Coturnix japonica: one gene and its partners. The main gene of each other region encodes a partner of the protein of the gene in region 2 in a complex. Links are inferred from orthologs where the notes say so. Each region holds a gene or a part of one and is shown on either strand. Other genes may lie near its edges. The genes, in order: potassium voltage-gated channel subfamily A member 3-like, KCNAB2 and KCNA2.

The links.
Region 1: the proteins of KCNAB2 (region 2) and potassium voltage-gated channel subfamily A member 3-like are in contact, whole or in part, in a cryo-EM structure (PDB 7EJ2), measured with the Homo sapiens proteins. The link is inferred for Coturnix japonica from reciprocal best matches to the Homo sapiens genes KCNAB2 and KCNA3. Residues at the interface, in NP_001186789.1 of Homo sapiens: Met196, Tyr199, Ser200, Arg203, Glu231, His234, Lys235, Ile236; in NP_002223.3 of Homo sapiens: Pro133, Met137, Phe140, Pro142, Leu143, Asn145, Tyr147.
Region 3: the proteins of KCNAB2 (region 2) and KCNA2 are in contact, whole or in part, in a crystal structure (PDB 5WIE), measured with the Rattus norvegicus proteins. The link is inferred for Coturnix japonica from reciprocal best matches to the Homo sapiens genes KCNAB2 and KCNA2. Residues at the interface, in NP_059000.1 of Rattus norvegicus: Met193, Met196, Tyr199, Ser200, Arg203, Glu231, His234, Lys235, Ile236; in NP_037102.1 of Rattus norvegicus: Asp28, Glu33, Pro62, Met66, Phe69, Asp70, Pro71, Leu72, Arg73, Asn74, Tyr76.

The regions. Positions count from the first base shown.
Region 1 is NC_029541.1:1,849,129-1,857,361, forward strand, and holds the start of potassium voltage-gated channel subfamily A member 3-like, read right to left. Parts: upstream 5,289-8,233; 5' UTR 5,118-5,288; coding exon 3,375-5,117; 3' UTR 1,923-3,374; intron 1-1,922.
Region 2 is NC_029536.1:539,897-547,447, forward strand, and holds the end of KCNAB2 (voltage-gated potassium channel subunit beta-2), read right to left. Parts: intron 7,420-7,551; coding exon 7,375-7,419; intron 7,073-7,374; coding exon 7,028-7,072; intron 6,955-7,027; coding exon 6,911-6,954; intron 6,844-6,910; coding exon 6,757-6,843; intron 6,414-6,756; coding exon 6,369-6,413; intron 4,973-6,368; coding exon 4,887-4,972; intron 4,786-4,886; coding exon 4,665-4,785; intron 4,309-4,664; coding exon 4,214-4,308; intron 4,132-4,213; coding exon 4,011-4,131; intron 3,939-4,010; coding exon 3,850-3,938; intron 3,770-3,849; coding exon 3,680-3,769; 3' UTR 2,083-3,679; downstream 1-2,082. Other genes in the region: CHD5 (chromodomain-helicase-DNA-binding protein 5), read left to right, coding at 82-190, 358-490, 813-1,008, 1,223-1,386, 1,493-1,607, 1,711-1,718.
Region 3 is NC_029541.1:1,831,693-1,839,791, forward strand, and holds the start of KCNA2 (potassium voltage-gated channel subfamily A member 2), read right to left. Parts: upstream 4,745-8,099; 5' UTR 4,613-4,744; intron 3,935-4,612; exon of another isoform or gene 3,488-3,934; intron 3,452-3,487; exon of another isoform or gene 3,264-3,451; intron 3,192-3,263; exon of another isoform or gene 2,887-3,191; intron 2,762-2,886; 5' UTR 1,526-2,761; coding exon 26-1,525; 3' UTR 1-25. UniProt on the Homo sapiens protein: Voltage-gated potassium channel that mediates transmembrane potassium transport in excitable membranes, primarily in the brain and the central nervous system, but also in the cardiovascular system.

The DNA of each region.
Region 1 (8,233 bases), on a different chromosome or scaffold from region 2:
AACAAGCAGCAGCTTCCTTTGTCCCTTTGTCAAGGGATGGAACAGAAACAATTGCCTAAAGAAATCTGACCCTGCAGGAGGAAAGGGACACCCCAGCCCTGCTCCGTGACCCCAGAGCAGGACAGATCCCATCTACCTGAAGGGCATGTGCTGTGCTGGGGAGCAATGGAGCTTTTTGGAGGAATCCAGGCCAAAAGAGTGTAAATAAACAGGAGAAAAAAAGTGAGAAAAGCATCAAGCAGAAAGGGCAGGTTGGGGGGGGGTTCCTGTGTCAAAGGTGATGCACCCATGGGGAGACAGAGACCATAGGGCACCCTAAAAGCCACCAGCAGCCCAGGGTGACACCTGCTTTGAGACAAGCTTACAGCCCGGTGTGCTCTGCTGCGCCCAGAGCAACAGCACCAACACCACGGTTTGATGCGCACTGCAAGGCAGCAGAGGAACACACAACGGATGGAAGCTGCAAGGCAGCAAAGGAACACACATGGAAGGAAGCTGTAAGGCAGCACAGGGCGCTCCATCCCTGCAGGCTGCCACGGAGCTGTCTGGCAGCACTTTGCATCTCCTGGCAGGATGCGCCCGGCGGAGCTGTCAGACCACGGAGCAAACGGCACCCAGCGAAACTGACAGCACCGAGGGAAGGAGCAGACAGAAATGGGGCAGAGCACAGCAGGGATATCCCCGTTTTTCTGCTCCCTCTCCCATTTCTGTGCGTGCCTTCAGCTCTTTGACGTTTTTCAGCGGTGCCATTCAGTGCTGAAAAACTACGGCGGATGATTCGGCTTCTTTAGCACCTCTGTGATAAAGAGCTTTTTGCTGTCAGCAAAATGTGTTTGAAGCTATTCTGCCCCCACCGAATGAGGAGGGGAAGCAGCCAGGAAAGCAAACTAACGAGCGGTGTGGTTTCTTGCTTATTTAAGTGGCACAGAAACTAAGAAGCCTGCGCTGCTGTTTCCAGGCACACGTGTGGTTTCCATCCGTGCAGCTGCCACAGCAAAAATATCACAATAAAACTCAGCGAGGAGGGGGTTGAGCTCCCACTGCCCTGAGCTCCAACCCTTCTTTTAGGATGGGGCATGCAGAAAAGCTTTGATAGCCATCAGAAGGGAAAGCTCGCAGCCGGCTGTGACAGCTCAGCCTGCTGGCGAAGGTGCCTTGGGGTTCCCTGCTGCCCCGTGCTCTGGGATGCTGTCAGGGTGAGGGGCTGTCAGCTCTGTGTGGTTGCAGATCATCGCCCTCACCATGGTTGGGGTAGATTCTCTGCTGGGGAAACTGCTGCAGCTCCAATAAAGCCGTCAGATGCCATTAGTGAAGAAGCTGCTCGGATGTTTCCTGTTGGTTTGGAGTGTTTTATTCACTGGTTGGGGTGCTGGGGCTGAAGGGCAGCGTGATGTGACACAAACTGTCCCAATCCTTTTAAAGCCTGAGGGAATTCCCAGCAAAATTCCCAATTCCAGCATGGTCAAAAACCTCCCTTCCATCCCCTCAGGAAACACACAACTCAGCCAGGTTGGGCTCCAGGTGTCCTTTGTCTTTGCTGGCATTCCTGTGCACTCCTCACCTGACAGATCATTTTGTTCTTACCCCAAAGCCAACTGGGACACAACACAGCCCCACCAGCCCCACTGTGGACCAACCCAAAGCACCAAAACACTGACACAACTCTCATTTTTTGCACAGTTTTGGACAGATCCCTGCACAGAACAGCACAGCTTTACCCCAGCACTGCTCACCCAGAGCTCAGTGTGCAGCAAAGTGAGAAGCACAAAGAATCAGAGGATGCTGCCTTCCCATGACACCCAAAGTGCACAAAAAACACACCAAGGGGAGCTGGAAAACGACACCATGCAGAAGGAAACACGAGGTTTGTTCCAAAAAGCAATGATGCAAAAGAAAACCTCTCCCCCCCTTGCAAAGCTCACCTGATCCCATCAGATGTCCTGCAGCCCCCGGTGTGCACAGAAGGATGAAGGAGGCACATTTTCCCTGGCGACTTTGGGCTTACATTGCATTCTTGCTCTTTCTAGCTCTGCATTTGTCCCCATGGTTTCCAAAGGCTGCTGAGCTTTCATGGCTGAGCTTTCATTTCTGCCCTTGGAGGACACTTTGGGGTTTTGCTCCAGGTGAGGTGAAGGCGGTCCTTTCTCCACTCATATTTGCAGGCTCCCAAATCTCACCGCCAAGGTGTGAACTCCTTTGAGAGGGAGAGGGGGATGTGGGGAGTGCTTATTGCCTACGGGTGGGTGTTTGGCTGCGGGGATGGGCTGCAGGATGGGGCACGGATGGGGGTGCAGGATGGGATCCCCGTGCGGTACAGAGCCATGGGGTGGTGGGGCTGGAACCATCTGGAAGGGCTTTGGAGGGAAGGGTGAGGGCCGAGGGGGGGATGGGAGAAGGGATGCCATGACAACCTTTTGGGGTTTCCCAGGAAACCAGGGTGGCCATAGCAACTGCATCACTCCGGTCCGAATTAGTGACTTCCGCTGGAAGGCGTGCTCACCACTTTAATCTCCTTGCCATAAGCAGCTGCATCTCTCCCAGACGCGGTGGAAAAGGTGGAAACATCCCTTTGTCTGCAGCTCGGCAGCTCGGAATCACAGCCCTCATGCAGCCACCCCATCCCGCTCTGCCCAACACAGCACACGGACCCACAGACCCTGCGCTGGGTGAAATCATGCCCAGGGCTGCAAGGGAAGGGTGGAAAATAAGAGGGTTGGGTTTTAGTTTGAACCGATTGCATTCGGCTTCTGATCAGACAAGAATGATCTATAGGGGGAGAAAAGGGGATCTGCGGTGCGTCCCTAAGGGAACACCACCTCCCAGCACTGAGCGCTGTGTAACAACGTGGTAACGGGGACTGTGCGAAATGAAAGGGTTGTTTCCTCCCAGCCCCCTTCCAGAGCTCGGCAACATGTTTTCCTCATCTCCCCACCCAATCCGGGGCCGTTAATCCAACAAGTGAGCTTATGAGATGGAAGGGAAATGGGCTCCGCACCGCCTGCAGGGAAGGGGGGAGCAAACCAGGAGCAAAGCGAGACGTCCCCAAAAGCCAGGAAACAAAGGCAGCCCCGCAACACGTTGCAGAACAGACACCTGCTCCAGCGGTGCCATTTGTCTTCGTTCTCCTCCTCCGTCCCCATCGACCGTCCTCTTTTCTTTGGAGAAGATTAAATCCCTTTCGGATCTTTAGAAAGGAAACAAAAAAACCCCAAAAGATCTACAAAAATAAACGTATAAAAAACAAGGGCGCAGACAGACGGACGATGGTGCATGTTCCACACAACACCAAGTACACACGGTCACTTTTGCATCATTGTTATTATTATTATTCTTTTTTAACCACGTCCTCAGCTTTCGCCGCCGCTCTGTGTTTATTAAACATCCGTAAAGATCTTTTTGATGTTCACACAGTTGGGATTGTTTGTGGTTGTGCAGTTGCCTGTCTTAAAGGCAGCCTGTTTGAATGCACTGTGGTTGATTCCCCCCTCCTCTATCACCATGTACTCAGATTTGCTGAGGGTGGAATTGCTGCGTGCCTTCCTCATCTCTTCAGTAGACGAAAGGTGCTGGCAGCTCCCGACATGCATGTACTGGGCTTGCTCCTCACCTTCTGTCTCCCGGTGGTAGAAATAGTTGAAATTGGAGACTATGACAGGCACGGGCAGGGCGATGGTCAGCACCCCCGCGATGGCACACAAGGAGCCCACGATCTTGCCCCCAATTGTCATGGGGTACATGTCCCCATAGCCCACAGTGGTCATGGTCACCACAGCCCACCAGAAAGCATCAGGGATGCTGGTGAAATGAGACTCAGGGTCATCAGCCTCAGCAAAGTAGACAGCACTGGAGAAGAGGATCACCCCAATGAAGAGGAAGAAGATGAGGAGACCTAGCTCCCTCATGCTTGCTTTGAGTGTCTGACCCAGGATCTGCAGCCCCTTGGAGTGCCGGGACAGCTTGAAGATCCGGAAGACCCGCACCAAGCGGATGACTCGGAGGATGGCCAAGGACATGGCTTGCTGGCCATTGCCTTGCCTCTCAGCCATCTCAGTGCCCAGGGTGATGAAGTAGGGGATGATGGCCACAATGTCAATGATGTTCATGATGTTCTTGGAGAAGGTGGCCTTGCTGGGGCAGGCAAAGAAACGCACCAGCAGCTCAAAGGAGAACCAGATGATGCACAGTGTCTCCACCACAAAGAAAGGGTCTGTGAAGGACGACACCATGGAAACGGCCGAGGACGAGGAATTGGTGAAGACATCAGGTGGGAGAGGGCCACCACCCGTCCCAAAGGTCCCCCCGGTTCCCTCATAGTCGTGGTCATCTCTGAACTCAGGCAGAGTCTCCAGGCAGAAGATGACGATGGAGATCAAGATGACTAAGACGGAGACAATGGCGATGGCCCGGGCTGAGCTGGAACTCTCAGGGTACTCAAAGATGAGCCAGACCTGGCGCTGAAACTCGTTGTGGGGAAGGGGCTTGTCCTCTTCTCTGATGAAACCCTCATCCTCCCGGAAGCGCTCCATGGCCTCCTTCCCCAGCTGGTAGAAACGGATCTCTTCGGAGAAGATATCAATGGGGACATTGACGGGTCGTCGGATGCGCCCTCCCGACTGGTAGTAATAGAGGATGGCGTCGAAGCTGGGCCGGTTCCGGTCGAAAAAATACTCGTTGCGCAGGGGGTCGAAGTACCGCATCCTTTTGCGGGGGTCCCCCAGCAGCGTCTCGGGGAACTGCGCCAACGTTTTGAGCTGAGTCTCGAAGCGCAGCCCCGAGATGTTGATCACCACCCGCTCGCAGCACTCGTGCTCTCCGCTGACCTCCGTGGTGTGCCCTGCGGGACCGGCGGCGGGCGGCGCGGGGTGCTCGTAGCGTTCCCCCCCCAGCAATGGGTGCGGATGCTGCGGTTCCTCCGGCAAAGGGTCCCCGGAGCCCCCCACCACCGTCATGCTGCCTTCCTCCGCCTCCTCGCCCTCTTCCTCCTCGTGGCCGGGGAGCGGCTGCGGGGCGCCGGGGGGCGGCTGCTCGGTGTAGCCCAGGTTGTGGTGGCTGCTGCTGGGGGGCCGGCCGGCGGAGGAGGCGGCAGGAGAGTGCAGCAAGCTCCGGCGCTCGTCCATAAAGGTGTGGGGAGGAAGGGGGAAAGGGTGAGAGGAGCGGCGAGGCGGCGGTCGGAGCCTCTTCTTCCTCCTCTTCCTCCTCCTCGGGGCGGAGAGGGAGAAGCAGCCGCCCCGCTCCCGGCTGCCGCGGCTCTGAGCGGCGCCGGGCTGCGCTCAAAAAGTCCGCCCCCAGCGCTGGCACCGCCTCGCCCCGCCGCTACCCGAACCCACCCCCCCCGGCTCCGCCCGGCTCGGGGACCCCCGGAGCCCCCGGAGCGGCTCGAGCTGTGCCCGGGGTGCGGGGTGACTGCGGGCGGGGAACAGCCGGCGGCTGCTGGGGCTGAGAGCGGCGGGGGGAGTCCTGCAAGGCAGGGCGTGTGTGTGTGTGTATGTGTGTGTGTGTCTATGTATGTGCACATACACGTGTGTTTGCACGCCTATGTGCATGCATGTGTGCATATGTGGATGCTTGTGTGCATGCATGTGCATTCATGTGTGTATGTTCATGTGTGTGCACATAAGCCAGTGTGCATGAGTGTGCATGAGTGCACGTGTTCATGTGTGTGTCTTGAGTGTGCGTGTGCAACCCCACAGCAAAATCAATGGAGAAGAGAAGCTGGCTCAGCCCTCAGTACAGGCAGTCGCAGTCTTTCCTGCAAGGAAGCTGGAAGGCTTTTCTCAATCAGTCTTTTCAGACAAATAGTTCACTTTTGGTCAAACAGGACTTTGTTTTTCCTGCAGAAAGCCTTCCCTGCAGGATCCCAATGCTGGCAATCACTCCATCCCCACAAGACTTGCACAGAGGGGTAACCCAAGGGCAACCCTCCCCTCAATAGGTCCCAAACCCTATTGGTCACTCTCCAGGAGCACTCCTATCCTCAGCCATGAGCCATGAGGCTCTGGGAACTCAGGGGGTTCCTGGCTGGGGAAGGAGCCTGACCACATTGACCACATGGGTCAGGGATGTGTTAAGGGCATCCCAATCCCATCCCACCCCGACAGCCCCACTGCAGAGGAGGTGAAATCCTCACCATCAGCCCCGCTGCAGCTCCTTGCTGCTGTTATTTTTAACCAGCACAGCCTCCAGAAGGTAGGGAGAGGGGGAAAAAAAAAGCAGATGAAAAGATCAAACTTATTTATACTTGAAATTAGAAACAAGCTGTACAAAATATACAAACCTATGGGGGAAAACAGCAATAAATATTGCTGTAGGAGCCGAGCCCAAACTGTAAATGGGAACAGATCTGAGCTAGCCCAGCTTCCCTTCCTCATTTTGCTGATAGAGCTGGTAGGGGGCAAAATAACCCCAAACCTTCTGCCCCCAAAAGTGGTGGAGGTGCCCAGAAGGAGGGACCCACCATAGAGAACTGCTCTATGCTGCGGCTGAGGCCACTACACTTGTTGCTGCAGCAGCAACAGGGGACACCCATCTCCAGGCCGTGGCACCTTGCCCTGCATGGATTTATGTTCTTATGGTCACCTCCATCCTTAGCTTCACGTCCTGCTCGTGGCTGCACATCACCCATGATGAGGGAGTCGGGCAACAGGAGTCCAGCTTCTCCCTCTCATCATTTCTACTGTAACTAACAGCAGAAGAACCCAACACTCAGCACCTCCCACCTATCCCAACCTGGACAGAGTGAGAACCAAACATCATTCACACTTGGTTGCTCAAAGGCTGCAAAACACTCCTGGAAATGACAGTTCACATCCAAAATCTGAGCTCTGCTCTCTATGGGTTTCATGATCATACAACAGAGCATCATCTGCTCCCTCCATACATGTGTGTAGCACTTACTTAAGGACTTGTCTGGCTCATCTCTTTCCTCTGCTAGGATTTCTGCCAGTAAATCACTGTCATCTGGTCGAAGGCAAACAAACAAGGCTGCTTCGTACTATAAACATTTATTGATGACAAAAGGCTCGAGGCAACAAGGCGTAACTTCCATAACTGCAACAGTTTACTCCAGCTCTCAGTCGGGGGGGGGGGAAACTCACTGGAAATCAGTGCCAGCTCTGCAGAGAGCTGCGTACCTTTGGGATGCAGAGAGGAAAATCCCTTCCCTTGCAACCAGGATCGAGTTGTCCCCATCAGCTCAGTGCAGCAGCAGGAATTAACCCCTCAGCTACCGGCTGCTTTAGATCAGCCTGGAGATCTGCGGCTCCAGCCCAGCTGCCCCAGGCACCGCGTGGCCTCCTGGCCCTGTTTTCCCCTCCGCTGCTTCCACCTAATCCCATCAAATCTAATTAAGCTCTGCCAGGCCAGCAGCTCGCTGCAGGCAGGGCTGCTGCGGGGCCATTGCCGCTGGCCCCAGCTGGTCAAGCAAGGCAATGTTGTGCCCCAAACCAAGAGGCACAAGCACGGTCACAGGGTGAGACTGAGCACGGTTACAGCAATGCTGATAGGAGTCCATGAGAAGGGACACCCCTGCGGTGCCCTCAACACCTTCCTGCAAAGCACAGCACTAAATGTGCTCCTCCAGGCTGTGGCTTTTCTGTTTAATGCAGGATGGCCACCACCTCCTCCTCCTGCGAGATCCTCTCTGCTTCTCCGTCCAATTCTAATCTTGAATCTGGACTTGACAAATTCAATTTGATTCCTAACAGCCATTCAGGAAACTCCCCTGTGCAATGATCTACAGGCTGACCTGCAGCATCAGCTGCAGCTCCTGCAAAGCAGCTGAGCCAGCACAGCTCCTTTCTTCCTTTCGTGGCCTTCTTGGGGCAGAGGGGGCACAGCTTCACCTCACCCACAACCATAGAGGAACCCTTACAGACCCCTCCCATGTATGGAACCATTATTCCAACCCCCCACTGCTCCCAGCCTTTGGTCCCCTGCCTTGAAGCCTTGCCCATCTCAAGCATCCTCTTGTGCCTGCCACAAGAGCTGTGCATCCTGCAGCCGTGCTGCCAGCACGTGTTGGAGCCCTGCCCTCCCTCATGTCTGAATGGGAACCCTGCCTCCATTGATAAATCTGGGACAAATCTGCTACTCTTTATTCCTGAGGATCAGAAACCTTTCAGCGCTAACGCTGTTACAATAATACCTTAATGCACCATAAATGTATTGTCTCTCCTCTCACAGCAGGGAACACACAAAGCTCCAGCTGCTTCATGGGGACACGATTAACTCACTC
Region 2 (7,551 bases):
GGGCCATCTCCTTGCTCGCCCCGCATGCTGTGCCCAGCAGCCCTGCTGGCTGACCAGGCTGTCTCTCTTCTGTTTCTGCAGAGCTGCACACGCTGTGGCAGAATGAGGAAAGAGCTGCCATCTCCTCCAGCAAGATCTATGACATCTGGCACCGCAGACATGACTACTGGCTGCTGGCAGGGATTGTCACGTACCCTTTGGCTTTGTGGGTGATGGCCTCCCCGTGCCAGGCGGAGGGGGCTGTGCTGTGAGGGCATTGGGGAGGGAGGTGATGGAGCAGGGAAAGGGGCTGGAGATGTGTTGCTGAGAAATGCTGCCTGCTGGCTGGTTCTTGCCTTGACGCTCCCTCTGCTGCAGCCACGGCTATGCCCGCTGGCAGGACATCCAGAACGACCCACGCTACGTGATCCTGAACGAGCCCTTCAAGTCAGAGATACACAAAGGGAACTACCTTGAGATGAAGAACAAGTTCCTCGCCCGGCGCTTCAAGGCGAGTTGCAGGTTCAGGGCTGGTGAGTCCTTAGTGGTGGCTCAGAGCAGAGCCCCACAGCGAGGTGGAGCGGAGCAGGAGGCGGCAGATGTTTGTGAGACATCAGTGGCAGCGAGGCAGCGCCCTGAGGGGCAGGGCTGGAGCAGCAGGAGCACTTGCTAGCTCCAGAATGTGGCACATGGACAGGGCAGTGCTGTGGAAGATGATACAAACCCAGGAGCTGTGGGGTCGGATGGATGGGGAGGGTGGTGGCATGTGGGTGGCACTGGCTCACATGGGCACAGGGTCTGGTCCTGATCCATTGCTCTCCTGTGCCTCCCAGCTGCTGGAGCAGGCCCTGGTGATAGAGGAGCAGCTGCGACGGGCAGCGTACCTGAACATGACGCAAGACCCCAGCCACCCGGCCATGGCATTGAACGCCCGGCTGGCTGAAGTGGAGTGCCTTGCTGAAAGCCACCAGCACCTCTCCAAAGAGTCCCTTGCTGGGAACAAGCCCGCCAACGCTGTTCTGCACAAAGGTACGTGGGGGTGTAGAGAGCAGGAGGTGCAGGGAGGGGTTGGCTGTGCTCAATGAGACCATTGGGAAATCCAGCTTTGGGGATTGCTGGGTGGAGGAGCTGATGCTTGTTCAGTTGGGTCACAGGGTTCTGGGCTTATGGGGACAGAGCACAGCAGGCACGGGGGTGCTGGGGGCCACGCTGCAGGGTCAGCAGTGCCGGGTGTGCATTGCAGTGCTGAACCAGCTTGAGGAGCTGCTGAGTGACATGAAGGCTGACGTGACACGCTTGCCCTCCATGCTGTCCCGCATCCCCCCGGTGGCTGCGCGGCTGCAGATGTCGGAACGCAGCATCCTCAGCCGTCTCACCACGCGTGGAGGGGAGCCCCCGGTCCAGCAGGTGTGTGGGCTGGAGGAGTGCAGAGCTGCCTTGGGGTGCCCTGTGTCCCCCCCCAGCTCTCTGTGCTGCATTCCCCGTGCTCCAGCTTCCCTTCTCATTCCCTCAGGGCTCCTTTGGTTCCTCACAGATCTACAACAGCAGCTTCGGGCCGAATTTCCGAGGTCCTGGGCCAGGTGGGATTGTCAACTACAGTCAGATGCCTCTGGGACCCTACGTGACGGGTAGGTTGAAACTTCTGACAGACCCGAGCAGGGAAATGGAAGTGACAGATTCTAGTGCAAAGCAGGGATGGCGATGAGCAGCTGTTTTCTCTCTCACCAACAGATATTTAGCCCTTTCCAAGATCTCCTAATGCTGTTCCCATTCCCACCCGAGGTAAGGCTGCACCTGTGACCATCCTCTGGGCTGCTGTGTGCTGGCAGACCACGAGTCCTGTCTGTCCCCTCAGCAGCCCCTGGGCCACTCTCCAGCCCCGAGAAGAAGCCGCATGGTCACCGAGGGATGGGGATGCAGTGGGCAGAGGCTGCAGCCTCACACCCCTCATCCCCACGTGTGCTTTGACCGACGTGACCCCGACCATCACCAGAACTTCTCTGGAGGGGATTTCATTTCCTTGTACATTTTTTTTGCACTTTCTTATTGAAGACTTGAAGAGTTTGTCTGGAAGTGTGGGATGAGTTAAGAAGGGATGCAGAATAACAGTATTTATGTCTGTTTTTATTGACATGTATCAGAGTTAAAGGGAGACCTGTTGGAAGCTCTGTTTCTAGTCCAGTTCCACGCTGACCGTTAGGCGCCAAGCTTACTCCTGTTCAGTAGCTTCCCTGTAAGTTCTATTTTTATGTCCTTTTTGTGTTTGAGCAAGCGCATGCCTGCCCTGCCCTGCTGCAGCACGGGGAGCAGAGAGGAGGAGGAGAGGAGTCTCCCAGCCCATCCCTGGGCTGCAGTGAGCCCTGCCCCGGGGTCCCTCTGCCTGCAGCCTGCCCTCTCCATGCTGCAGTGGGGAGGGCACGGTTGGGCTGTGCTGGACATTGTGCTCCTCCTGCTTCTTCCTTCCATCCTCTCTATGGCCACAAATTGCCTGGAGCTGGGTGGGGGTGGGGGGTGTCGTGGGGGCTGCTGCAGCAGAGCAGAGGGCGGCTGCACTGCTGCCTTTGTGCCTGGTGGGCTGCTATTTTGTGATACTGCACCGTGGTGACCTTTCGTAGGAGGTTTATGGCACCTGTAACCAACACACTCACATTTACTTTGTACTCTGTGTGTTTTGGTTCATGTTCTCTGTGTTTTAATAAATCCTGTAAAAAGGAGGTGGGAGCAGCGTCGTTATTGTGCTGGCAATGAGGGGAGCTCTGCTCTTCCAGCCCTGGGATCAAGGTGGGAGATGAGCACAATGCTTGGGGAGGGAAGGGCCAGGAGCCAGCCCCCCCTGGGCAGCAGCACCAGGTGAAGTGCTGCTGGGTGGACACACACTGTCTGTATACATGTATGTGTATGTGCTTGCAGGATGTGTGCAACACATGTGGCACATCTGGAAGTCACCTCCGGATGCATGTAGATACGCAATTCCACACACCTGCTTCTGTGTTTCTGTGTGGTTTGTGCAGACACATAACAATTGCAGCTCTCTCTTATCTATCCCGGTGTGTGCTTCACCTCCCCATCTCCACTCAGCAGCGTGTGCTGCTTCCCCTGCACAGAGGGTGAGACCAGCTGTGTGGAGTCCCCCCCTCTCATGCTTCCCGTTGCCCACCCCTCTTCTCCTCCCCGTCTCTCCTCCCTCGCTCCCACCCCATGTCGGTGCGCTGGGGCTGCAGAGCGGAGCGCCGGGAGGTGTTGGTTTTGTCGGTGGCGATGCAGCCTCTTACAGCCCCGGCTCAGGTCTGGGCCAGCATCCAGCCCTGCACACCTGCACCCAACGGCCTCCATGTCCAGAAACACAAAGTAAAGAAGAGAAGCAGCGGGGAGGCGCATGCAACGGCCGCAGCCGCCGCCCAGGACGGCCCCCGCCGGCTGAGTCCAACGCACGGAGCCCCCCGAGCACAGCGCCCAGCCCGGCCCTGCGGCTCCGAGTCCGGCCGCGGGGTGCGCTCAGCCCCGGCGCTCTCCCCGGCGGTGGCTTCCTTGCATTCAAATTAAATGTTATGTAATAAGCGTTATGTTCTCTTGCAGCGACGTTTGGAACGGTTTCTCTACACTCTCGGCGTGCTGTTCTTGATGCGGTCCGCGCTCTCCACTTTGCTTCATCCAAGCATAAGCAAGCGATCGGGCGGCGGGGCGGCGCGGCGGGGCGCGCCTAGGAGCGGTAATCCTTCTTGCTGTAGGGTTTGTTGCCCAGGATGCTGTCGATCTCGTGGACGATGGAAGACGACAGCTTGGGAAGGACCTGCAGGGGAGCGCCCAGAGCCGTGTGGGACGGCCCCGCATCACGCTGCAGTGATTCACCTGCAGCGCTGCACAGCTCACCTGTATGGCTCCGATGTTCTCCATCAGCTGGTCGGCGTTGGAGGCTCCCAGCAGCACGGAGCTGACGCCCTCGTTGCGCAGGCACCACGCTGGGGATGCAGAGTGCAGAGCTGAGCAGGGCCCGGCCGCTGCCCCCCCTCCATCCCCAACACCCCCCTTACCGATGGCGAGCTGTGGCAGCGTGCAGCCCAGGCGCTCGGCGATGGCTTGCAGCTCCTTCAGCTTGGCCTGCTGCCGCCGGCCCTCCTCGCTCAGGATCTTGTCCTTCAGCCACTGGTATCCCTGGGGCAGGAGGGAGGTGAGTGGGGGGGCTCCAAGGAGGAGCCCTGAGAGCCCTGCACGTGTATCCCCACATGGTGCTCACCTTCAGTGATGCTCTGGAGTACGGAGGAATGCCACCATCGTACTTCCCCGAGACGATGCCACACGCCAGCGGGGACCAGGTCATGGCACCGACACCTGGGGAGAGCAGAGCAGAGTGACCTGGCCACCTTGTGTGCTGCCTTCAGCCCGGGGTTGGGCAGCACGTGGGTGCAGAGGGCAGGAGGGGCAGCAGGGGAACCAGCCTGGGGAGCCAGGAGTGGAGTGGAGGTGCTGGGGCACACGGGAGGGGATGGAGAGGGAGGAGCAATGGGTACAGCCCTCAGGAGAAGAATCCACATGAAAGGGACGCATTGTATTTCCCCCCCCCTTCCCCCCAGAAAGTGCCATTTTCACCCCAGCAGCACATCCAGGAGTGGGGCACAGCAGCCAGGGAGCAGCTCGTGTGTTCCTGCACCAACGGCTGCAGGATGGGGAGGATCCTGGGTTGGTACCTATCTTGTGGAAGAGCTCAGGCAGCTGCACCTCCACCTTCTCCCTCTGGAACATGTGGTACTCGGCCTGCTCGCAGATCGGTGGGATCAGGTTGAACTGCCGTGCCACTGAGTACGCCTCCTGCAACCCGGATCGGCACCATCAGTGCACACCGGCCCCATCGTCATGGGGCAGGGATTTGGGCTCCAGGACCCCCTGTACCACCCACATGTGGCCCCTACCATGATCTCCATGGAGCTCCAGCGTGACGTTCCCCAGTACATCGCCATGCCCTGGTTGATGACGTGTGTCATGGCGCGCACCGTCTCTGCCAGAGGAAGGGAGAGCAGCAGGCGGGCGTTAGGGCACAGGGATGGGGCTGGGCCATGCACATCTTGCAAGCAGGGTACATCCAAACGCCAAACGGGCGGGAGTTGGGTGTGGAAATTAAACCAAAAGGGAATGGAAATCGACCCGAGAGGGAGAGAGAGAAAGAGAGAGACTGCTCCGCAATTAACGCGTTTCCAAATCTCTTGAAAACAGACCCAGGTCAAACCACACGGAGAGCATCACATGGAAGCGGGTGGAGGTCGGTGTGGTTATGCTGAGATGAGGAGGGAGGGACAAAAAAGAGAAGTATGGTCCTCTGGGAGAGGTGACGGTCAGGAGAGGGCACTGAGGAAGGGATGCACCGGGGACACAGCACTGCTCCCAGGCAATGGGGCCGGAGCCACCTCCAGCTCATCCCAAAGTGCTCCACCACAGAAATGAGTTAAAACGGGGCTTAAGGACATAGAAAAGAGATCACCCCCCAAACCCAGCGTTCTGCAGGTGTAGCCCATTCTGGGCTGTGCCACGGCCTGTGGAGGTGGGCATCCCCAGGGCTGCGCTGGCACACGGTGCTTGTTGCAAATGCTGCAGGAGGAGGGAAGCAGGTGGATGTTTCCACACCCTCCGGTACCACCCGGCTGGAAGCACAACTGCTGTGCCCACCGTGCAACAGGGCGGTGGGAAATGTGGAGCTGAGGGATTCGCTGCTCCGTCCCAGAGTGATGCTGGGAGGAAGGGGATGGGGCTGCCACAACTTCAGCCGGCACCGGGCTGCTCCCAACCATGCAGGCTGCGTTGCAAGCCAAGATGCCGTGCCAAGTGAAGGAAGTAGGAAGGAGAACGTGGCCAAAGTTTGGTTTAACAACAGCAGCACGTGCAGCCCAGCTTTGAGCACGAGCTTTGTGTCAACCAAAGGCTTCAGCAGCCAGACCTGGCAGCTCAGCTTGGGGGGGGACAGGACCGCATGGAGAATGCCCAGTCCTGCGTCCAGCGGGGGATGGCACAGGGGTACAGCCGGGTGCTGGGCTACACGGTGCCCCCAGGGTGCTCTGCATGAGGACAGACTGACAGCAGGAAGAGCTGCGTGCAGCAAGGACTGACGGCTTCACCCAGGTCCTGAGCACTCCCCAGTGCCAAAGCAGCGCCAGAAGCGCATCGCCAGAGCCATGCAGGGGAGCGGAGCGGATGGGATGGGAGCACAGCTGTCGGCTTGGTTCCTTCACTTGCAAGATGTTCTGGGGACAGGGGGGTATTTTGGTTTGGCTGCTGCTGCTGTTTTCCTTCGCGCATTTTATGGAGAGGGTTATTGAGGGAGGAAGGAATCAAAATTAATGAAAGATGCGGGTTCTGTCTCATAAAATGCCACTGGGGTTCAGACTGCGGGTACGATGTACCTTCTATGATGAATGTTCTCGACTTGGAAGAACTAAATGGGTGCCCTGGTGATAAAAGAAAGATGTAGAGAGACCAGAGGTTACAGCCGCCGGTGTCACAGCGAAGGGCACAGCGGGGGACGGGGCCGCGCTCCCCCAGCACCACGGCAGCCCCCGGCCGCGCTCCTGGCACAGGGTGAGGGGTGGATGCTCAGAGCTTTAACTGAAGGGGTTACGCTCTGTGGTGGGAAACACACTTTCAAAGGAAAGCCTGCCACAAGAAGCATGGTTACAACCCACGGATGGCAATGGAATAAGGCACACACCATGCAGAAAACGGGGAGAGAAGGGACGTGGCCCCAGAGCCGTGGGCAGGAACACTGTGGCACAACCGCACTGCGGCACCCACCTTCCATGGGTGTGTTGGGGTCGGGCCGGTTGGCGAACACCACGTCCACGTAGTCCAGCTGCAGCCGCTCCAGCGACGCCTTCAGACCTGCAGCCATGCAGCACAGTCAGGGCAGCCCAGGCCCCGCACCGTGCCCCACACCCCGCAGCCATACCTTCAATGATGTGCTTTCGGGACAGTCCCCGCTCCGTCTCTGCTCTGAAAGAAGAGAAGGGGCAGTCGGAGCCTGCTGCCGGCCGCAGCGCTGCGGGGCAGGGCGGGTGTTACCTACTTTCCTCCCCAGAAGATCTTGGTGGTGATGACCAGGCTGGATCGTCTGCAGGGAGAAGGGCAGAGTCATAGAACCAGAGGGTAATTAAAGTTGGAAGTCCAACCCCAACCCATCCCACTGTGCCCACTGACCACATCCCCAGATGCCACCTCGCCATGTTGGACACCTCCAGGGTTGGGGATGCCACCCTGGGCAGCTGTGCCGGTGCTTGTGCAATGTGTGAGCCCTGCACCCTGTGGGCTCTATCTCCCTGCTCCTCCCAGCCCATGAGCATCACAATTACTAAGGAAATCTGCTGCCTAAAAGTGAAGCAGTGTGGGATGCCGGACCCTGGGGGTGAAACCTACCTCCAGCCCTTCTTCTTGAGGATGTTCCCCAGGATGACCTCAGCCCTGCAAGGAAAGGGAGACATAAGCCTTGAGCTCTTTAGGCTGGAGCAGGAATTAGGTCAGAGACGCGTCAGTAATGAGAAGTGACTGCGAGCGGCGTTGGGACGCGGCGGGGAGCGGAGGACTCCCCAACAA
Region 3 (8,099 bases), on a different chromosome or scaffold from region 2:
TAAATACGGGACTAGGATTTAGCGACTAGACATCGGTTAGCATTTTGGTGATATTCACATAGTTTGTGTTAGCTAGGGTGCAATTGGCTGTCTTCAAGTTCTCCTCCCTAAAATCCTCATTGCTATTGTTTACACCTTCCTGAATCTCCATATAATCAGACTTACTAATGGTAGAGGCACTTCTGCTTTTCTTTAGGTCAGGGGAAGAGGGGATCTTTGGGCAGCTGGTTACTTGCAAATATTGAGCCTGCTCCTCTCCCTCTGTCTCTCGGTGGTAGAAGTAGTTGAAGTTGGACACAATGACAGGCACAGGCAGGGCAATGGTTAGCACACCAGCGATGGCACACAGGGACCCCACGATTTTCCCCCCGATGGTGGTGGGGACCATGTCTCCGTAGCCAACAGTCGTCATGGAAACCACGGCCCACCAGAAGGCATCGGGGATGCTCGGGAATTGGGACTCGCTCTCGTCGGCCTCGGCGAAGTAGACGGCGCTGGAGAAGAGGATGACGCCGATGAAGAGGAAGAAGATGAGCAAACCCAGCTCCCGCATGCTGGCCTTGAGGGTCTGCCCCAGGATCTGCAGCCCCTTGGAGTGCCTGGAGAGCTTGAAGATCCTGAAGACCCTGACCAGGCGGATGACTCTGAGGATGGCCAAGGACATGGCTTGCTGGCCTTGCTGGCCATCCTCTGGCTTCTCAGCCAGCTCCGTCCCCAAGGTGATGAAGTAGGGGATGATGGCTACAATGTCTATAATGTTCATGATGTTGGTAAAAAATCCAGCCTTGCTGGGACAGGCGAAAAACCTCACCAAGAACTCGAAGGAGAACCAGATGATGCAAAGCGTCTCCACGATGAAGAAGGGGTCTGTGAAAGAGGTCGACTGCTGGTACCCCGTGCTGCTGTTGGAGTAGGGAGGGTGGCTCAGCCCGCTGCCGTGCATGTCTTCATTCTCATCCCGAAAAATGGGCAATGTTTCCAGGCAAAAGCTCACGATGGAGATCAAGATCACCATGACAGAGACAATAGCTATGACCCTGGCAGGGCCAGAGCTCTCAGGGTACTCGAAGAGCAACCAGACCTGTCTTTGAAACTCATTCTCTGGCAGCGGTCTCTCTTCTTCTTTGATGTAGCCTTCGTCCTCCCGAAACATCTCCATGGCTTCTTCCCCCAGTTCATAGAAACGAATCTCCTCTGAGAAGATGTCCAAGGGCACATTAACCGGCCTCCGCAACCTCCCTCCAGATTGGTAATAGTACAAAATAGCATCGAAGCTGGGTCTGTTCCTGTCAAAGAAATACTCGTTCCGGAGAGGGTCGAAATATCTCATTCTCTTTTTAGGATCTCCTAGCAAAGTCTCCGGAAATTGAGCTAACGTTTTGAGCTGGGTCTCAAAGCGCAGCCCTGAGATGTTAATGACCACCCTCTCGCAGCATTCATGGTCGGTCTCGGGGTTGTACGTGTCCTGTGGGTGACCTGGAAGAGCTGCAGCTTCGTCTGCAGGATCTCCGGTAGCAACTGTCATATTGGGGTTGAAAGAAAATCCTTATGCTAAACTCTTCCGAGTGCCCGGTGGTGGGATCGGACTCAGGGCAAGGCTACTATCCTGCAGAAGGACAGGTACGTAGGTGTGGAAGTGTCTCATGAAAAGGCGAAGGGATGATAAAACAGGAGAAAACAAAAAAAAAAAGGAAAGAAAATTGCCCCTGCTGAGAAAGAGAGAGATGAAGTAAAGTTGGGGGGAGGAGAGCGGCTCCCTGCACTACCGCTGCCTACCTCCGTCCTCAGGGGGGTTAATCGGAGTTAATCAGAGTTCAAAACTCCCATCTAAAGCCATTAGGCAGAAGGGAGGAAACACCTGAGGAACCTTCATCTATTCACAACCGGCATAGAAAAACCGGCCTTGACAAAGCAGAACATTTTGGGTTTTATGGTTAAAAATAATAATTCATAAGAGGGGAGAAAAAAGCAGGAGGGGGAAGGGAAGAGAAAGGAAGCAAAACCCCAACCAGCCCTATAGCGGTAAAGGGACCCGCGGGGCAGTGCGGGCTCGGCTCATTTCCAGGCATGCAGTTAAGGGTTAACATTCAACCGTGCATAGATTATTCTAAGGTTCTACAGCAGGCAATCCGGCACGACCCTCCAGGTAGCCCTAACGGCTCCGCTTTAACTTCGGCACCGTCCCCATCCTCCTGCCCCGGCTATAGGGCCGCGGGTGCTGCACTGCCCGCCCCGAGCTGGGCTCTGCTGCCTGAATTTGGATGCAAGCTGCCCGCGGACCACTGCAGTCCCCCTCCTCGACCGCTGGTGTCCCGGCTGCTCTCATTCTCTGCAAAGCGCCATGGCACACAGAAAACAAATCACATTACCTGGAGAAGCCAAATCTTAGTGTCTCTTAGTAAGACCGATTATCTGACCCCTGGGGAAATCCTAGAGAGGAATACAGGCTTCCAAGATCCCCATAATTTCCTCTCTCTTCAAAGTTAAAAATAATGGTGAGTCATCGTAGAAAAGGAGAAGGGACATAAAAGGGGTGAGATTTCCAGATGGTGGAAGTCGGGTCTTGGAATGGTTTGGACTGGAGAGAGAGAGAGAAAGAGAGAGAGAAAGAGACAGAGGGACAGAAGTCCTCCCGGAGCTGTTGCAGGTCCGCACTTCAGGGCAGAGCAGGGTCTGTCTGATGCCTCCGGTACGGCGGGGGGAAGGTGCTAAGCTCAGCAAAACCCGATGTCCCCGGTGTCCTCGGGAGGTGTGGCATCGCCTGGAAAAAACAGCGAGAAGGTAGAAAGCCAACGGGGGTTTTGGAGGCAGCGTCCGCAAAGCCCCCGATTCCTCCGGGCAGCGCCGCTTCCTCCCCGCCAGCTGTTATCCCGACGCTTCGCTAACCTGCACTGCAACACGAGCCGAGGGGAGAGCGGAAAAAAACAGAACCGCGTCTCTCTCTTCTCCTCTCCGCTCCGGGCGGTGGGGCCGGGCCGCCCGATGGCAGCGAGGGGAGGAGGCGGCGGGCGGAGGGGGAGCGCCGCAGCCCCCGGCACAGCGATGCTCTGCGGCGCCGCACCGAACGCCCCGGGGACGGCGGTCCCTACGGCACCGCGCTGCCTCCGCGGGGGGCTCGGGGGGCTCCGTTTTCATCGGTGAGACGAAGAGCTGGTCGGTATCCCCTCCTCCATGCTCCCCCCTGAGCATCCCCGGCCGTGAGACCCACGCGACCCGCACCCACCCTCTCCATCCTCCCCAAAGCCAACCCCCAGCCGACCCACCCCCCCGTGGGGATTCCACTCCGGTGGGGCTACAATTCTCAGGGAGACGCTGGGGGGGCTCCGATCCCTGCATCAGCCTCTGCTCCTCCATCAGACCGCCCCATGGGATGCTCGAGCAGCAGCGATCCATCCAAACTCTCCTTTCCCCCCCCGGTCTCTTTTTTGTTTTTCAGGTTTTTTTTTGCCCTCCCAAAGAAAAAAAAAATAACAACAATTCCTCTAACCTCCCTTCTTCGGCTGCAACTCGACTTGTCTACTTTGAGCCAGGATTACAGAACCGGGGAGGGGAGGCAGGTGGAAAATAACCCCGCGGTCTGAGCCTCCTCGGTAAAGATTTCAGCCTCCCGCAGGCCATGTACGCCTGTTGGTTTCTCTCTTCATCACCTCGGGTGCAGATATTGCTGCAGATCCTTCTTTTCTTGGAAATTTCCCCTTCCCGTGCAACCCTCCTCTCCCTTCTCCTTATGCACTAGAAAAAATAGTACAACCCTGACAAGGCTTGCAGCATCCAACGGCTTCGCTTAACCCTTTTCTACCAGGCCCAGAGGAGAGGAGCTGGTTTTTGTCCCAGTTTTTCTCCTTTCAGCCCCACTCCAAAGCCCCGCTGGGTTTAACCTCCTTTGGCTCCTGTGAGCATCACAGCAGAACACCACGAGCAGCATCCACCTGCTGCAGCCACAACGTGAACCTCCAAATCAACCAACCTTGATGATTTTTTTCCAACATGCATTTCTTCTCCTGCCCCTAAACTCCCTCCTCCCCTTCCTCCCTGCCCAAAACACCCCAGGTTTGCTCAGCAGTGCGGACATTTGCTCATTGTTTAACATGTTGATTATAATTTAGCATGAGGTCTGGGCTCCTCTCTCTGATCCCAGACCCGAGCGGTGATTCTGCTGCTGATCTGAGACGGTTACAGCATCATCTGAGTTGACATCACAGATTCCAGCACTCAATTTCTGCTACTTTCTCCCCATCACACTCTGTCCTGCTCAGAACCAAACACCTCCTCCCACCCCCACCCCGTCTTCGGGTTCCGTTCATGCAAATCTGGGGGCTGCAAGGGCAGGAAGAAGGCGATAGAAATCAACCACAAGAGCCCGGTTTGTCACTGCAGGCACAAGGCGAGCTCGCTGCAGGCACGAGCCATGGCCGTCTGTCAGAGCGCTGGGATTTCGGGCAGCCTCGAGGACAAGGTCGAGGCGTTTGCTTTCCCTTTTGCAACCGAGAAAAAAAACAAAACAAAAACGCCAAGCCTCCATTTCACAGCTTGTGGCAAGCCGCTATTTCAGCAGAGACAGCGGGGAGGGGAGGTGGAGGGGGGTGGGGGGGAGAAAAAGGCACCAACTTACAATTGGCTCTGCAGTCAGGCATGCAGCGAATGCACAAACAGCCGCGCTCCGCTCTGCTGGCAGCACCTTCACCTGCGCTGCTGGCCCTGAAACTCGCCCCGGGCTCCTGGGAGCAAAGCTCCGAAGGCAACAGAGCTTCTCAATGAATATTCATAAGATTAATATGAGCATCTCTCTCCCCCCCCTCCCTCCTCCCAAGCAAGAGACCTAGATTTCAACCACTGGGAAATAATCATATCCCTGGATGCGCGATGCTGCTGCTTTAGCGGGCGGCTCTGAGCGTACCACGTTTGTGTTGGAGCCTGGATCTGCATGGGGAGATCTGGGGTTGCAGCAGCTCTGCGCGGCTTTGGGGGAGGCAATGGGGCAGGATCAGGCTCCTGTGGGCCACGATGCCAATGTTTGGGGTGAGGATGTTGTGCTGCCCCATAGGCTGCAGCTCAGCTGGACACAATGTGAGCGATGCACCCACACCATCCCCTCTTCTCCATCACCCCTAGAGCAGTTGTTTTATGTCAGCCTGCTTTTGCAGACCTGCACATGGAGACATCACCCCATCCTAAAGGAGGGGGGGGGGGGGCAGGCACACAACAAAGCTGGCACAAAACGCTTTGGCTCAGCCTTGGATTGTTCTGCTATGACCATCCAAGGAGAGCACCAGGACTGCAGGGTGCCCAGCATCCAGCAAACACTGGGGGAGGTGATGGAAGCATTTCAGTTCCCATATGCAGCAGTCAGACTGTGAGGTGCTTATGCTGCTGGAGGGGATTGCAGGGCTCACCCTGGAAGCCCAGTAAAATCAGTGCTGTGGGTGATGCCCTGGGAGGTGTGGGGGCATGGTGGGGTTAACCCATGTTTCCCTGAGCCTCAGCTGAACATGAATTTCCATGGCAAAGTGGGGCTCACACACACACTCTGGGTATGAGGCTACTTGGGAAGAGGGGTTTTAATTTTTCCCTATGTTGTTTCAGCCTTTTCTGAGCTAGATCTGCCATAGCAGGGTGGGCAGAATCCAGACAACAAGATGCCCAAGGCTGATACTTATGCAACGTGTAGAAACTGAGGCTGAGAGATTCAAGCGCAGCTGAATTTCTAAGCTGCTATTCCCACTGCTGCCTTGCCAAGGCTTTGCACAACCAGTGGGGCTTTTCGTATCAGCAGAAGCATCTCCTTACAAAGAGCTCCAATCCTGCCTGTAGCAAACGGAGGAAACCTCTCTGAATTGAGTGATGCTCTCTGATTTACTACCCTAATTGTGGAGCTATTATTATAATGTGTACATCTGCACCCGCCTCCCTCTGCCACGCTGACAACTCAAGATGTAATTCAGTGCTTTGGAGAACGCAGCGAGTCAATACACTGCACCTACTTGTCTGATTTACATGTGTTTCAATGGCTGACACCTTTGCATTAATATTGTCATGAAAATATATAGAGATTCCCACTGGTTTCTTTCTGTTATCCAAATGGAATGTATACCTTTCTGAATTGGGACACCCTGATGTGATGGAACAGGGTCTGAAGATGGAGGCAGCCAAGGAACAAGGTGACACATGTTGGGGGAGCACTATGGGGCCATGTTATGGTCTCTGGGGCAGCTGAGCCCATGGGAAGGTCTCCTGATCCTACAATGAGCTCCTGATCCTTGGGAAGACCCACTGTCCCTTGGCAAGGCATGGCCAAAGGGAACCCAGCCAATATTACCCACCTGCAAAGATCAAATCACATACATTCTCCCTCTGTGGTGTTTCCCAAATTAAAAATATGGGGTTATTTAAAGAAAATAACTCCAGGTTCCACCTTGAATGTTCGTTTGATGAAGGCTGTTGTGTTGATGCATCGCTCAGCCCAGAGCAGAACCAGCAAAGACTGCATTGCCTGAGAGCTGTTCATTGAAAACAAAAAGTCATTTTGCCCAACTGAAACACGGTGTAGAACTTCAGTTCTTGAGGTCTTTGGAGCCCATTGAGGTTGTGAATATTTCATAGCAGGCTGCTGCAGGATTGCTAATGGAGCCATGGCGCAGGGCGAGCGGCAGCTCCGGCCACTCTGGCTAAAAGGTTCTTATAGCCTCTTTCTTTGACTTGAACCAACAAAAAGGACAGGACAAGCCAAATTAGTGAGAAGAAAGGAAATCAATAGCTTCCTTCGAGACAGGCACGATTGCTTTCAGCTCTGGGAAGGAATCTGTCCTGCTCCCAAGCCAGCATTATGCTCCCCACACTTGTCTGTGTATAACCCCCCCATGTTCCTCCCCAGGGCTGGGCCTTTATGAAGGCATCAGCTGAGCCACCGCATCCCCCTGAGCTGGCTGGGGGCAGCTGAGGGGACCCAGCTGTGTTCCTCCATCCTCAAGTCCTTCCAGACACCACGAGACTGAGCTGCTGCAGGGCTCCAAAAGTGCTTTTCTCTGTGTTGCTGCCAGCCAGCTTTGCTGAACACCAGAGCTCCCTGTCTGACCCCGTGGGAGATGCAACAGAAGTGATGAGTTTTCCCACATGCCTCATTTTCCTCCAATGATTTGTTTTCCTCGGGTCTGAAGCAGACCTCTCTCATGTGTTCAGTGGAGCATCACTTCTACTCCAGCTTTAGGAAGGACGATGCTCACCGAAATAGCAAGGAAACAGAACTAACTGAGCTTAGGGAGAACAATAAGGGGAGATGGGAGATGCCTGCAGTGGAGATAGCAAAAACCTGCAGACAGGTTGTCTCTGCCTTGGGGCAGTGGGTAGGTGACCTTAGGTGACTTCATCTCCTGGACCCTATGTTCCTTGTGGTCTCTTCTAGCTTGGAATGTTCCATTCCATTCCATTCCATTCCATTCCATTCCATTCCATTCCATTCCATTCCATTCCATCCCATTCCATCCCATTCCACTCCATCCCATCCCATCCCATCCCATCCCATCCCATCCCATCCCATCCCATCCCATCCCATCCCATCCCATCCCATCCCATCCCATCCCATCCCATCCCATCCTTCTTCTTCTCTCATCCCATCCCATCCTCAAGTGCTGCATAACATCTGTGTGCCTCCCTGTCTATCTGCCCCTGCTGTACGGTGGGTGCTGGGAGAACCCAACTGTGATGTTTTCCACTGACATGGCCACAAACGATGCTCCATGGGAAGGAAAAGACAAGGCAGGAGGAAAAGGGCTCTGATTTCTATTCTCTTGTCCTACCACACACTGATGCTGCAGGGAGAGATGAGGGCTCGGGCTGCTCAGCTGGGGAGCACCTTCCCCAGGGCTCAGTGGCTGTGGGCACAGTGGCACCATGGGCACAGTCGTGGTTTCATCCACAAGAAGGCACTGGATGGGTCCAGCCCAGTTATGGCTACGCCAAGCCAGAGAGCAAGCAGTGACAAACCTTGTTCCATGCCAGATTCCATGCTATGCCAACCCACTCCACCTTGTTTCCTTCATCTTCCTGCCAAGCCAAAGCCACCAGTGTAGCTCCATCACTACAAGAACCCTCCCGGAGATGGC